2 linked regions of the Anolis sagrei genome follow. The protein of the gene in region 2 interacts with the protein of the main gene of each other region in a biochemical or structural test. Links are inferred from orthologs where the notes say so. Each region holds a gene or a part of one and is shown on either strand. Other genes may lie near its edges.

Region 1 (6,393 bases), about 150 Mb from region 2:
TACCACATACAGTGCAAGAGGATAAATAAGGAAGTATAACATTTTATCACATGAGATTGGGGATAACACTGGATTGCTGTCTGTCGAGAGTACTTTGATGGTGTGAACCCACATAGCAAGGATCTTCAGGAAAGGAAACTCCACTTGAATAGCAGAAGGTATTGATGGTAAGGGCTGAAATGAACTGCTATAGCAGGCATGGGAAAACTTTGGCCCTTTGGGTGTTTTGGACTTCAACTCCCACAATCTCTAACAGCCTATGGCTGTTAGGAATTGTGGAAGCTGAAGTCCAAAACACCCAGAGAGCCGATGTTTGCCCATGCCTTTGCGATACAGTGTGACGGGAGTCCCTTCCTCTGGATTTTGTAAACTGACACTGGATGGCTATCTGTCAGGGGTGCTTTGATTGTGTTTCTAATGTCTAATGGATCATCTAAAATTTGTAGTACTAAATACAATGAACTGCATGCATACCCTGATGCTGAGATTTTTAATCCATTTTGTGGCTGGAACGTTCAAGTGGTTTGTATAGTTTGGTTTAATTACAAGTTATTGTTGTGTTTTATTGTTTATTTTATTTTGATTGAGGCGTTCTATGTTAATCCTGTATGTTGTTATTTTATTTTATTTGGTATTTATTTTTTATTTTGACTTCTGTACATCCTATATTGTTCTGTTTTGCATTGTTGCTGTTTTGTAAGCTGTCCCGAGTCCCTTTGGGGAGATGAGGCAGGATACAAAGTTATCCTTCTGTTCTAGCCTAATAAAATGGATTTTTAAGCAGGCCTTTGGCCTCAAGTAGGTTGAAATGGGCCTGTATTAGGCTGACACTTTGGCACTTTAGTTGAATATTGATGGCAGCTAGTTTTAACCATTGATGGTAAGTGGTTTTAAATTGTCTGTTTTATCTTATTTATGTGTTGATAGTGGTTGCTTATAACTCTTATGTGATACTATTTTATACTCCTGTACTGTTGATGTTAGGGCCCCTTGATGGCACAGCGGATTAAACCACTGAGTTGCTGAACTTGCTGACCAAAAGGTCAATGGTTCAAATCCGGGGAGCGGGGTGAGCTCCTGCTGCCAAACTAGCACTTCTGCCAAACTAGCAGTTCAAAAACATGCAAATGTGAGTAGATCAATAGGTACCGCTTCTACAGGAAGAGAATGGCAGTCTATGCAGTCATGCTGGACACATGACCTTGGAGGTGTCTATGGATAACACTGGCTCTTTGGCTTAGAAATGGAGATGAGCACCACCCCCCAGAGTCGGACATGACCAGGCTTAACATCAGGGGAAAACCTTTACTTTTTTACTGTTGATGTTTATACTGTAAACCACACCGAGTCCTTTTTTGGGAGATGGGGGCAGGATGCAAATAAGGTTTTTTTTTATTATTATTCATTAAAGTTATTATTATTAACATTTTCCTGCATGGCACAAAGGGGTTGGACTGGATGACCCTTGGGAGTCTCTTCCAACTCTGTAACTCTGTAAGTCATGTTGTTCTGACACATCTCCCACCTTTCCTACAGAGACTCAGGATAAATTAGAAAAAGGAATACAAGTGAAAACACAGAGAAATGCATTCTTAACAAAAACTCTCATAGGATTCAGACTTTGATGAACCTGCTCCATAAGCCTCCCACCCCTTTATTTTGTGGCGGGATTTCTCCCTTTCTTTCCCAGGGCCCTTCCACACAGAATATCAAAGCAGAAAATCCCACAATATCTGCATTGAACTGGGGGCTCTTCCACACATCCCTATATTCAAGAATATCAAGGCTGAAAATCCCACAATATCTGCTTTCAACTGGGTTATCTGAGTCCACACTGCCATATATTCCAGTTCAAACAGATAATGCAGGATTTTCTGCCTTGATATTCTGGGATATAGGGCTGTGTGGAAGAGCCTTGGGTTATCTGAGGCCCTTTTCACACAGCTGAATAACCTTACATTATCTGATTTGAACTGGGATATATGGCAGTGTGGACTTAGGGCCCTTCCACACAGCCCTATATCCCAGAATATCAAGGCAGAAAACCTCACATTATCTGCTTTGAACTGGAATATTTGGCAGTGTGGACACAGATAGCCCAATTCAAAGCAGATAATCTGCAATGTAGGGCTGTGTGGAAGGGACCCCAGAATATCAAGCCAGAAAATCCCACAAAATCTGCTTTGAACCGGGTTATTTTAAATCTACACTGCCATATATTCCAGTTCAAAGCAGATAATGTGGGATTTTATTCAGCTCTGTGGAAGGAGCCTTAGATAACCCAAGGCCCTTCCACACAGCCCTATATCCCAGAATATCATGGCAGGAAATCCCACAAAATCTGCTTTGAAGTGGGTTATCTGTGTCCACACTGCCATATATTCCAGTTCAAAGCAGATGTGAGGTTTTCTGCCTTGATATTCTGGAATATAGGGCTGTTTGGAAGGGCCGTAAGTCCACACTGCCCTATATCCCAGTTCAAAGCAGATAATATGGGATTTTATTCAGTTGTGTGGAAGGAGCCTTAGATAACCCAAGGCCCTTCCACACAGCCCTATATCCCAGCATATCAAGGCAGGAAATTCCACAATATCTGCTTTGAAGTGGGTTATCTGTGTCCACAGTGCCAAATATTCCAGTTCAAAGCAGATGTGAGGTTTTCTGCCTTGATATTCTGGGATATAGGGATGTGTGGAAGGGCCCTAAGTCCACACTACCAAATATTCCAGTTCAAAGCAGATGTGAGGTTTTCTACCTTGATATTCTGGGATATAAGGCTGTGTGGAAGTCCACACTGCCCTATATCCCAGTTCAAAGCAAATAATATGGGATTTTCCTCCTTTCCTTCTTACCGTTCCTCAGCTCATGCTTGACGGTGAAAAGGGACCAGTCTCCTTGTTCTTGTGGCGCCGAAGGTCCTTCCATTTCCTCACAGGATACAATAATAATAATAATAATAATAATACTCCACTTGTCTTCAATACTAGGGAGGCGCTGAGGTACAAGAGGTCACTTCGCCCCACATCCAGCTCAAAAGGAGCTTCTAAGAAACGTCTTCCATGTTGGATGTCAAGAAAACGAAGAATAAATCATATTAAAAGAAATGACAACCAGGCGCGCAATGAATGTGGATCATTTCCTCGTAGAGACGCCAATCCCTTAGATTCACCCCATCCCTAGAAGGGAGAGAGAGAGAGAGAGAGAGAGGGATCAAAACAGAAAAAAAGCAGAACAGCCCTGGAGATAGCTATTCCTTCCTCCTGACTGAAGCAATGAGGGGGGGGAGAAGGGGAGGGGGGGAGCCCAACGGTCATTGGCTCGCGAGGCTACACACCAGGGCGGCGATTGGTCGGGGGACGTTGCCGCGCGACCGACCCCGCCTCCCGGCTCGAGCCGCCACGAACAGAGCGAGGCCATTGGCCCGGCCCTTGCGCCAATCAATGGCTCGCGCTACTGACTTCCTCCCTCCCTCCCTCCCTCCCTCTCTTTCTGCCTTCCTTGGTTTCCTTCGCCTTCTCCTTCCTTCAGTCTCTTGGGCGCTGCTGCCTCTTCGCGCCCTTTTCCCGGCCGTCCTCTTTCTTTCCCTCAGGAAAGAGTCAATATTATGCAACCCCGCCCCCTGAGGGTGGAGCTAAAGGCATTAAAAGGCCCAGAGAAGGAGAACGGGCGGTGAGTGGCTTCACCAAAAGGACCCAGGCGACGCCTCACGTTTATTCGGTGTCCAGTAAGAGTAAGGACAAGGACACATTTATATATGTTTAGCCTGAAGAAGAGAAAGCTGAGAGGGGATATGATAGCCATGTATAAATATGTGAGAGGAAGCCACAGGGAGGAGGGAGCAAGCTTGTTTTTTGCTTCTCTGGAGACTAGGACGCGAAACGATGGCTTCAAACTACAAGAGAGGAGATTCCATCTGAACATTAGGAAGAATTTCCTGACTGTGAGAGCCGTTCAGCAGTGGAACTCTCTGCCCCGGAGTGTGGTGGAGGCTCCTTCTTTGGAAGCTTTTAAACAGAGGCTGGATGGCCATCTGTCAGGGGTGATTTGAATGCAATATTCCTGCTTCTTGGCAGGGGGCTGGACTGGATGGCCCATGAGGTCTCTTCCAACTCTTTGATTCTATGATTCTATTTACTAGCTGTCCCCTGCCACGCGTTGCTGTGGCCCACATGGGAGTTCTGTGTGGCAGGTTTGGCCCAATTCTATCGTTGGTGGGGTTCAGAATGGTCTGTGATTGTAGGTGAGCTATAAATCCCAGCAACTACAACTCCCAAATGTCAAGATTCTATTTTCCCCCAAACTCCACCAGTGTTCACATTTGGGCATATTGAGTATTCATGTAGAGTTTGGTCCAGATCCATCATTGTTTTGAGTCCACAGTGATCTCTGGATGTAGGTGAACTACAACTCCAAAACCAAAGGACACTGCCCACCAAACCCTTCCAGTATTTTCTGTTGGTCATGGGAGAACTGTGTGCCAAGTTTGGTTCAATTCCATCGTTGGTGGGGTTCAAAATGCCTTGTGATTGTAGGTGAGCTATAAATCCCAGCAACTACAACTGCCAAATGACAAAATCATATATTTTTTTTGAGTGAAGGACATACATTATTACGGCATTTATATGCCGCACATCTCACTCAGAGCAGCTTACAAGATATAAAAAGGTAAAGGTAGTCCCCTGACATTAAGTCCAGTCATGTCTGACTCGGGTGTGGCGCTCATCTCCATTTCTAAGCCGAAGAGCCAGCGTTTTCCGTAGACACCTCCAAGGTCATGTGGCCAGCATGACTGCATGGAGCGCCGTTACCTTCCCGCCGGAGCAGTACCTATTGATCTATTCACATTTGCATGTTTTTGAACTGCTAGGTTGGCAGAAGCTAGGGCTGACAGCGGTAGCTCACGCCGCTCCCCGGAATCTAACCTGCGACCTTTTGATCAACAAGCTCAGCAGCTCAATGCTTTAACCCACTGCGCCACCGGGGGCTCCGTACAAGAGAGAGATATATATATAAGTAAGTATGTGTGTGTGTGTGTGTATATATATATATATATACACACACACACACACACACACATACTTACTAACTTTACTTAGGCGATCCCTCGTTTTCCGAGGATGATTGTCTTCCAGTGTTCTTGTGGGTCCGTATGTGGCTGTGGAGACCTATTCTTGACCTGCATCTTCTCCCGCAGTGTGGGGATTGGTTTCCAGGTGGAAGGCGGTCTTGGTCGGGGTTGGCTTGACGCGCCTTCCTCTTGGCACGTTTCTCTCTTTCACCCTCCATTCGTGCCTCTTCAAATTCTGCAGCACTGCTGGTCACAGCTGACTTCCAGCTGGAGCGCTCAAGGGCCAGCGCTTCCCAGTTCTCAGTGTCTATGCCAGAGTTTTTAAGGTTGGCTTTGAGCCCATCTTTAAGTCTCTTTTCCTGTCCTCCAACATTCCGTTTTCCGTTCTTGAGTTTGAAGTAGAGCAACTGCTTTGGAAGACGGTGGTCGGGCATCCGGACAACGTGGCCGGTCCAGTGGAGTTGACCATCGCTTCAGTGCTGGTGGTCTTTGCTTCTTCCAGCACGCTGCCTGTCTTCCCAAGAGATTTGCAGGATTTTCCGGAGGCAGTGCTGATGGATTCGTTCCAGGAGTTGCATGTGACGTCTGTAGACAGTCTATGTTTTGCAGGCATATAGCAGGGCTGGGAGGACGATAGCTTTATAGACAAGCACCTTGGTATCCCTACGGATGTCCCAGTCCTCAAACACTCTCTGCTTCATTCAGAAAAATGCTGCACTCTCAGAGCTCAGGTGGTGTTGTATTTCGGTGACGATGTTGACTTTGGTAGAGAGGTGGCTGCCAAGGTAGCAGAAATGGTCAACATTTTCTAATGTTAGCTGAAGGGTATGGGAGCTGCGAACCGTATTCATTTATTTATTTCCAGTATTTCTATCCTGTTCCTCCTTGACCCCCGAAAGGGGACTCAGGACGGCTTACATTTGGCAGCAATTTGATGCCACTACATATAACACAGTAATATAATAACAGTAATTATTATTATTATTATTATTATTATTATTATTAAAAAAAACTTTATTTATACCCTGCCACCATCTCCCCAAAGGACTTGGAGGGGCTTACATGAGGCCAAGCCCAACAGTACATCAATAAACAAAAGTAATAAACAAAAACAATAAATAAAATACAATTAATATAAATCACATATAAACAATAAACAGCAACACACAAGGATTTAAAAACCTATGGCTGGGCCAAATGTAATAGTTTAAAAATTAAAAAAATAAACTCTGTGCATGAACAAGGTAGGATATAACTGGTATAGGGTTTTCAAAGAGAGATGAAGGAACGCAGTCAATCCTAAATCAGTGGTAAAGTGCATTCTG
Region 2 (6,393 bases):
GTCTACAAATATAGTGTCCAATTTATACATTATAACACTTTCTATAAAAGCATGAGCACTATTACATTCAGGCCACAGAATCCAGCATGTGTAGTAGGGAGGGCTCTAGTCCATGAAGCCCTCGTTCCTGAAAAGTATGCAATATTTGAAGAGCCACAAAGTTATGTTAGAATTTAGTAACAAACCCTGTCTAGAACAGTATGAAATTATTGCATTTATAAATACAGGTATAAATCCAATTGCCACCCCCAACTAGACCAACCAAATCAATGGCATTTATGTTCCACTACCTAGTTCACGATACTTTTCCTAGTTGGGTGGATTTAGGCCACAGTCTGGTGAAACAAGGATATGTGAGAACACTAAAATTTCTCTGTGAAATGGAAGCAATACAGGAACAACAACAATAAATATCATAAAAACCCTATCTGTGACCCTTCAAATATGACTGCCTATACATTAAAGCAGGGCCCCCAAAACTAAGGCCCGAGGGCTGTATACGGCCTTCCAAGGTCATTTACCCGGCCCTCGCTCAGGGTTAACCTAAGTCTGAAATGACTTGAAAGCACACAACCACAACAATTCTATCTCATCAGCCAAAAGCAGGCCCACACTTCCCATTTAAATACTAATAAGTTTATATCTGTTAAAATTGTTCTTCATTTTAATTATTGTAATGTTTTAAAGTGTTATTTGCACTACAAATAGGATATGTGCAGTGTGCATAGGAATTCGTTCATGTTTTTTTCAAATTATAATCCGGCCCTCCAACAGTTTGAGGGACTGTAACCTGGCCCTCTGTTTACAAAGTTTGAGGACCCCTGCATTAAAGCATATTAGGGAAAACAATCAAGATCAATGTTTGGCTGAAAACTAGGACTTCAGGAGATGCAAACTTTAAAGGAGTCTTAGATTGAGAGTACTAACTATATGGTGAAATTCACTTTTCGATGATGGCCAAATAGGTTGTCTAAAACAGTAAGTAAATGAACTGTGTTGTAAGCATGGTAAAACCTCCCTTATGTTGTTATGAAGTGTGTATTAATCAGCACCAAGTAACTTACTTGAAACTTAATATACTGGGATACTGTTGCTAAAATTAGCCCTTTACTTTGTATCCTATTTTGCAACATAAAAATTATTAAAACATCCAATGTAGCTAAAAATCCAGGTTTTTGTTTTACAATGACTGAAATCCCAACCCTAGCTAAAAAACAGAGTGAGGTTAAGACAGTAGTTCTCAACCTGTAGGTCCCCAGGTGTTTTGGCCTACAACTCCCAGAAATCCCAGCCACTTTACCAGCTGTAAGGATTTCTGGGAGTTGAAGGCCAAAACATCTGGGAACCCACAGGTTGAGAACCACTGGGTTAAGAGGAAGTGGAAAACTCCTTGAGTGGTAGAGTAGCTCCTCCAGCCCAAAGAGGCCTGCGAGCATAAAACGTCCTTGGTAGATTCTAAAACAGGCATGGGCAGACTTTGGCCCTCCAAGAGTCTTGGACTTCAACTCCCACAATACCTGGCTGTTAGGAATTGTGCAAGTTGAAGTCCAAAACACATGGAGGACCAAAGTATGGCCATGCCTGTTCTAAAACATGACTTTTGGGTGAGGGAAAAGACATTCTCTCACAGGCTTGGACCTACACAAGATTTGAACAGATACTTCATCACACTAAAGCAGGGATCCTCAACTAAGGCCCGGGGGCCAGATGAGGCCCTCGCTTAGGGTCAACTTAAGTCTGAAACGACTTGAAAGAACAAAACAATAACAACAATCCTAGCTCATCAGCCAAAAATAGGCCCACACTTCCCATTGAAATACTAATAAGTTTACATTTGCTAAATTGTTCTTCATTTTAATTATTGTATTGTTTTTTAAGTGGATTTTGCACTACAAATAAGATATGTGCAGTGTGCATAGGAATTCATTCATGTTTTTTTTTTCAAATTATAATCCGGCCCTCCAACTGTTTGAGGGACTGTGACCTGGCCCTTTGTTTAAAAAGTTTGAGGACCCCTGCACTAGAGAATAAATCCATTTAAAATCCAGTTTCTGCCTCCTGCAGACCTCTGGGGTTTAGTGAGGCTGTTAAATACTAAATTTCATCCTAATAACTTCAGAAATAGGGAAATGTACATGAAAATATTTCCTATAAAATGGAAATAACATATTTTATTTGCCTTGGTTAGAGAGGGAAGAAACAGGGCATGGGAAGTAGGAAAGTTAATTCAAAACGACTCCACTCATAACTGAAGCTAAACTTATATATGTGTTAACTTTTCTTGCCTGCACTCTTCCTAGCCCCCCTAATTTAGTACATTGTTTTAAGTTATCTCCCTTACAGGCCCGTAGCCAGGATTTCGATTTTGGGGGGGGGGGGGGGGGGGGCTGAGTCTGAGTGAAAGAGGGTCTACCCTAGCAAAGCTTTTGTATCGTTACCCCAATACCCCCATGCATATGGGATATATTGAGTATGGTGATCAGATCATGATATGAATAAACATAACAGTTTAAATAATGAACCAGTAAGGCCTTCTCGCGAACCACCATGAGAATTTGGGGGGGGGGGGGGGGCTGAAGCCCCTAAAGTCCCCCCCCCCCCACTACATGTCTGCTCCCTTATATTACTTTACTGAGTGCCATGTAAACTGAACTGAGGTGAATAGATTCTACAAATAAAACAAAAGTGTCAGTAATACTAGCAGTGCCTCATTTAATACAACTTTTCGCCTAAGCACAACCCCTCAAAGTACAGATCAAAGGGGGGAGGGATAAAAACCAGAGCAGTGAGGATTAAGTTTGAAACAAATACAACCATTTCCAGCACCAGAGCTTTCATCATAACCACACAGAACTGTGAGGAAAACAAGATGTTCAAGAATAGTGTAGATCCAAAATTATTTTTATTTCAAAAGGAACTTTCGGAGGTTTTTCAAATTGGAGCCATGTTTTTTTAAAACTGTTTTGCTGGTACAGTGGACGGGGACTCCTGCCAAATGGATGCTTTGACTATGAAAAGAGGAACCTCTGGACCCGTGGGACAGAATCGAGGGTCTGCTCCAAGCACAGCAGAAGCGAGTATTGGGAGTTTTGTTTCTCATGTCAGGAGCAACTTGAGAAACTGCAAGTCGCTTCTGGTGTGAGAGAATGTGCTGTCTGCAAGGCCGCCTGGACGTTTTGCCACCCTTGTGAGAGGCTTCTCTGATGACCCCACATAGTGATGATCACCCCCTTTCCCTTTCCTCCTAGGACTCCGTGTGTAAGGCTGCCAGGGAAGTCCCTGCTCAGCATTGGGCGGGAAAAGAGAAGAGAGGGCTGGGGTGGGGCATCTAACTTCTGGCTTGGAGAAGAGTGAGGCATGTGTGTGTGTTGGATCCACTAGATCCATATTACTGCCCTAAAGAAGGGGGGGGCACCTTATGGAGAAAAAGGATCGGCGGATTCCCCCCCCCCCCCTTCTTAAGAGGTTGCTTATACCTCTGAAGCGTGTGTTTATGACCAATTTATGTTACAAACTGCGTGATGAGAGAGGGACAGAGGGAAGACCCTCGCGGGAAGGCCCTCTCCCTCTCCCAAGGGCGCCGTGGCCTAGTTTCTTCCCCCCGCTTGGCCGCCGCCATCCTCCTCCTCGGTCCGCCCGCCCGCCAGGCTTGGCTCGCCTCGTCTCTGCCTGGCCCGGCCGCTTCCATCCGCCATTACTCTTTGTTCCTCCTCCAGCAGCAGCGCCGGGCCAGGGCAGGAGGAAGGAGAGGCTCCATTTTAAAAATTAAAACCGCCACAGAACTGAGGGGAAGGGAGGGGAAGAGCGCGTTAGGCCGAAGCTTGGCTCTCTCTCTCTTTGCCTCCTTCCTTCCCTCAACGGCCGCCGCCCCTCCCTGTTTTCCTCCTCCTTCCTCTCTCTCTCTCTGGTCGGCCTTTGTCTCCTCGGCCTGCCTTTCTTTCTTTCCTTCCTTCCTGCGTGCTCGCTGGGCTTTCTCCTTCTCCTCTTACCGGCCAGAGGCTGCTCCGTCACTGCTTTCGTTCGCGCCGAGGCTCTCGCCGCAGTTTTATTCTCTCCCCCACGTAACACACCGCGTCAAACTACACCTCCGCCGCGTCACTCACAGGACACACACACCACGCGCCCGCTCGCTCGCTCGCTCGCTCCGGCTCTCCCAGCGCCGGCGACAGCAAGGCCAGGCAGCCAAGGCAAGGCAAGGCAGGCAGGCAGGCAAGCAGAGCGGCCGACGGAGGGGAAGGCAAGGGAGGGGGGGAGAAGAGGAGGAGGAGGCCAGGGAGGGAGGGAGGGAGGGAGGGAGCAAGCGCCGCCGCCGCCGAGCATGCCTTCGCTCTCCTCCCCCTCCCTTCCCTTCTGCCTCGCGCGCTCCCCCCTCCCTACTCTACTGCCTAGCGCACTCTCCCCCCTCCCTCTTGCCTCGCGCTCCTTCCCCCCCTTCTCTTCTGCCTCGCGCGCTCCCCCTCCCTCGCGCTCTTCTCTCCCCCCTCCCTACTCTTCTGCCTCGCGTGCTCTCCCCCCTCCCTCTTGCCTCGCGCTCCATTTCCCCCCTCCCTTCTCTTCTGTCTCGCGAACCTTCCCCCTCCCTTCTGCCTCGCGCTCGCTGTCTCCCCTCCCTTGTCTTCTACCCTGCGCTCTCTCTCCCCATTACTCCATTCCTGTCCCGCCATTCCCCCCCCCCCCTTCTCTTCTGCCTCGCGCGCGCTTTCCCCCCTTCTCTTCTGCCTCGCGCTCTCTCCCAGGCCTGGATCCAGAGGAGGGGGAGGGGGTTTAAGGCAGGGGTCCTCAAACTTTTTAAACAGAGGGCCAGGTTAGGTAAAGGTAAAGGTAAAGGTAGTCCCCTGACAATAAGTCCAGTCATGTCTGACTCTGGGATGTGGTGCTCATCTCCATTTCTAAGCTGAAGAGCCAGCGTTGTCCGTAGACACCTCCAAGGTCATGTGGCCGGCATGACCGCATGGACCGCCGTTACCTTCCCGCCGGAGCGGTACCTATTGATCTACTCACATTTGCATGTTTTCGAACTGCTAGGTTGGCAGAAGCTAGGGCTGACAGCGGAATTGAACCTGTGACCTTTCAATCAACAAGCTCAGCAGCTCAGTGCTTTAACCCACTGGGCCAGGTTACATTCCCTCAAACTGTTGGAGGGCCAGATTATAATTTGAAAAAAAAAATGAACCAATTCCTATAGACACTGCATATATCTTATTTGTAGTGCAAAAAACCTCCAGCAAAGGATCACCGCCTTGTCGGGGCGCTGGAGCTTGAGCACCTCAATGATGTCATGAGCGAAACCGTGAAGGGACACCCAAGACGGGACGGTTGTGGCAGAGAGGTCAGACCAAGCGTGATCCCTGGGGAAGGCAATGGCAAACCACTCCAGTATCCTTGCCAAGAAAACTAAATGGACCAGTACAACCAGAGATATGTCGGTATGCCATTGGAAGATGGGACTCCCAGGTCGGAAGATGGCCAAAATGCTACTGGGGAGGAGCAGAGGATAAGTTCAACTAGCCCCAGATGTGATGACGCAGCTAGCTCAAAGCCGAAAGGAAGGCTAGCGGCCGACGGTACTGGAGGTGAACGACGAATCCGATGCTCTAAAGATCAACACACCATAGGAACCTGGAATGTAAGATCTATGAGCCAGGGCAAATTGGATGTTGTTATAGTTTTGACGGTGTGGTGAATGAATTAGAACCAGACATCCTGAGGAGTGAGGTTGAATGGGCCTTAAGAAGCATTGCTAACAACAAGGCAGCAGGAGACGACGGGATCCCAGCTGAACTGTTTAAAATCTTAAAAGATGATGCTGTCAAGGTGATGCATGCCATTTGCCAGCAAATATGGAAAACACAAGAATGGCCATCAGACTGGAAAAAATCAACTTATATCCCCATACCAAAAAAGGGAAATGCGAAAGACTGCTCAAACTTCCGTACAGTGGCCCTTATTTCTCATGCCAGTAAGGTAATGCTCAAGATTCTGCAAGGAAGACTCCAGCAATACATGGAGCGAGAGTTGCCAGATGTTCAAGCTGGGTTTAGAAAAGGCAGAGGAACGAGAGACCAGATTGCCAATATCCGCTGGATAATGGAGAAAGGCAGGGAGTTTCAGAAAAACATCTACTTCTGCTTCATTGACTATTCTAAAGCCTTTGACTGTGTGGATCATAATAAACTGTGGCAAGTTCTTAGTGGGATGGGCATCCCAAGCCACCTTGTCTCTCTCCTGAGGAATCTGTACAAGGACCAAGTAGCAACAGTAAGAACTGACCACGGAACAACAGACTGGTTCAAGATTGGGAAAGGCGTACGGCAAGGCTGCATCCTCTCACCCAACCTTTTTAACTTGTATGCAGAACACATCATGCGATGTGCGGGGCTGGATGAATGCAAA

Evidence for each region.
Region 1: of the proteins of CREB1 (region 2) and RPS6KA5, one has a biochemical effect on the other in vitro, tested with the Homo sapiens proteins (3 studies listed by BioGRID, with this or other methods). The link is inferred for Anolis sagrei from reciprocal best matches to the Homo sapiens genes CREB1 and RPS6KA5.

The regions. Positions count from the first base shown.
Region 1 is NC_090021.1:315,295,775-315,302,167, forward strand, and holds the start of RPS6KA5 (ribosomal protein S6 kinase alpha-5), read right to left. Parts: upstream 3,284-6,393; 5' UTR 2,926-3,283; coding exon 2,853-2,925; intron 1-2,852. UniProt on the Homo sapiens protein: Serine/threonine-protein kinase that is required for the mitogen or stress-induced phosphorylation of the transcription factors CREB1 and ATF1 and for the regulation of the transcription factors RELA, STAT3 and ETV1/ER81, and that contributes to gene activation by histone phosphorylation and functions in the regulation of inflammatory genes.
Region 2 is NC_090021.1:168,932,166-168,938,558, reverse strand, and holds the start of CREB1 (cyclic AMP-responsive element-binding protein 1), read right to left. Parts: upstream 4,259-6,393; 5' UTR 3,990-4,258; intron 1-3,989.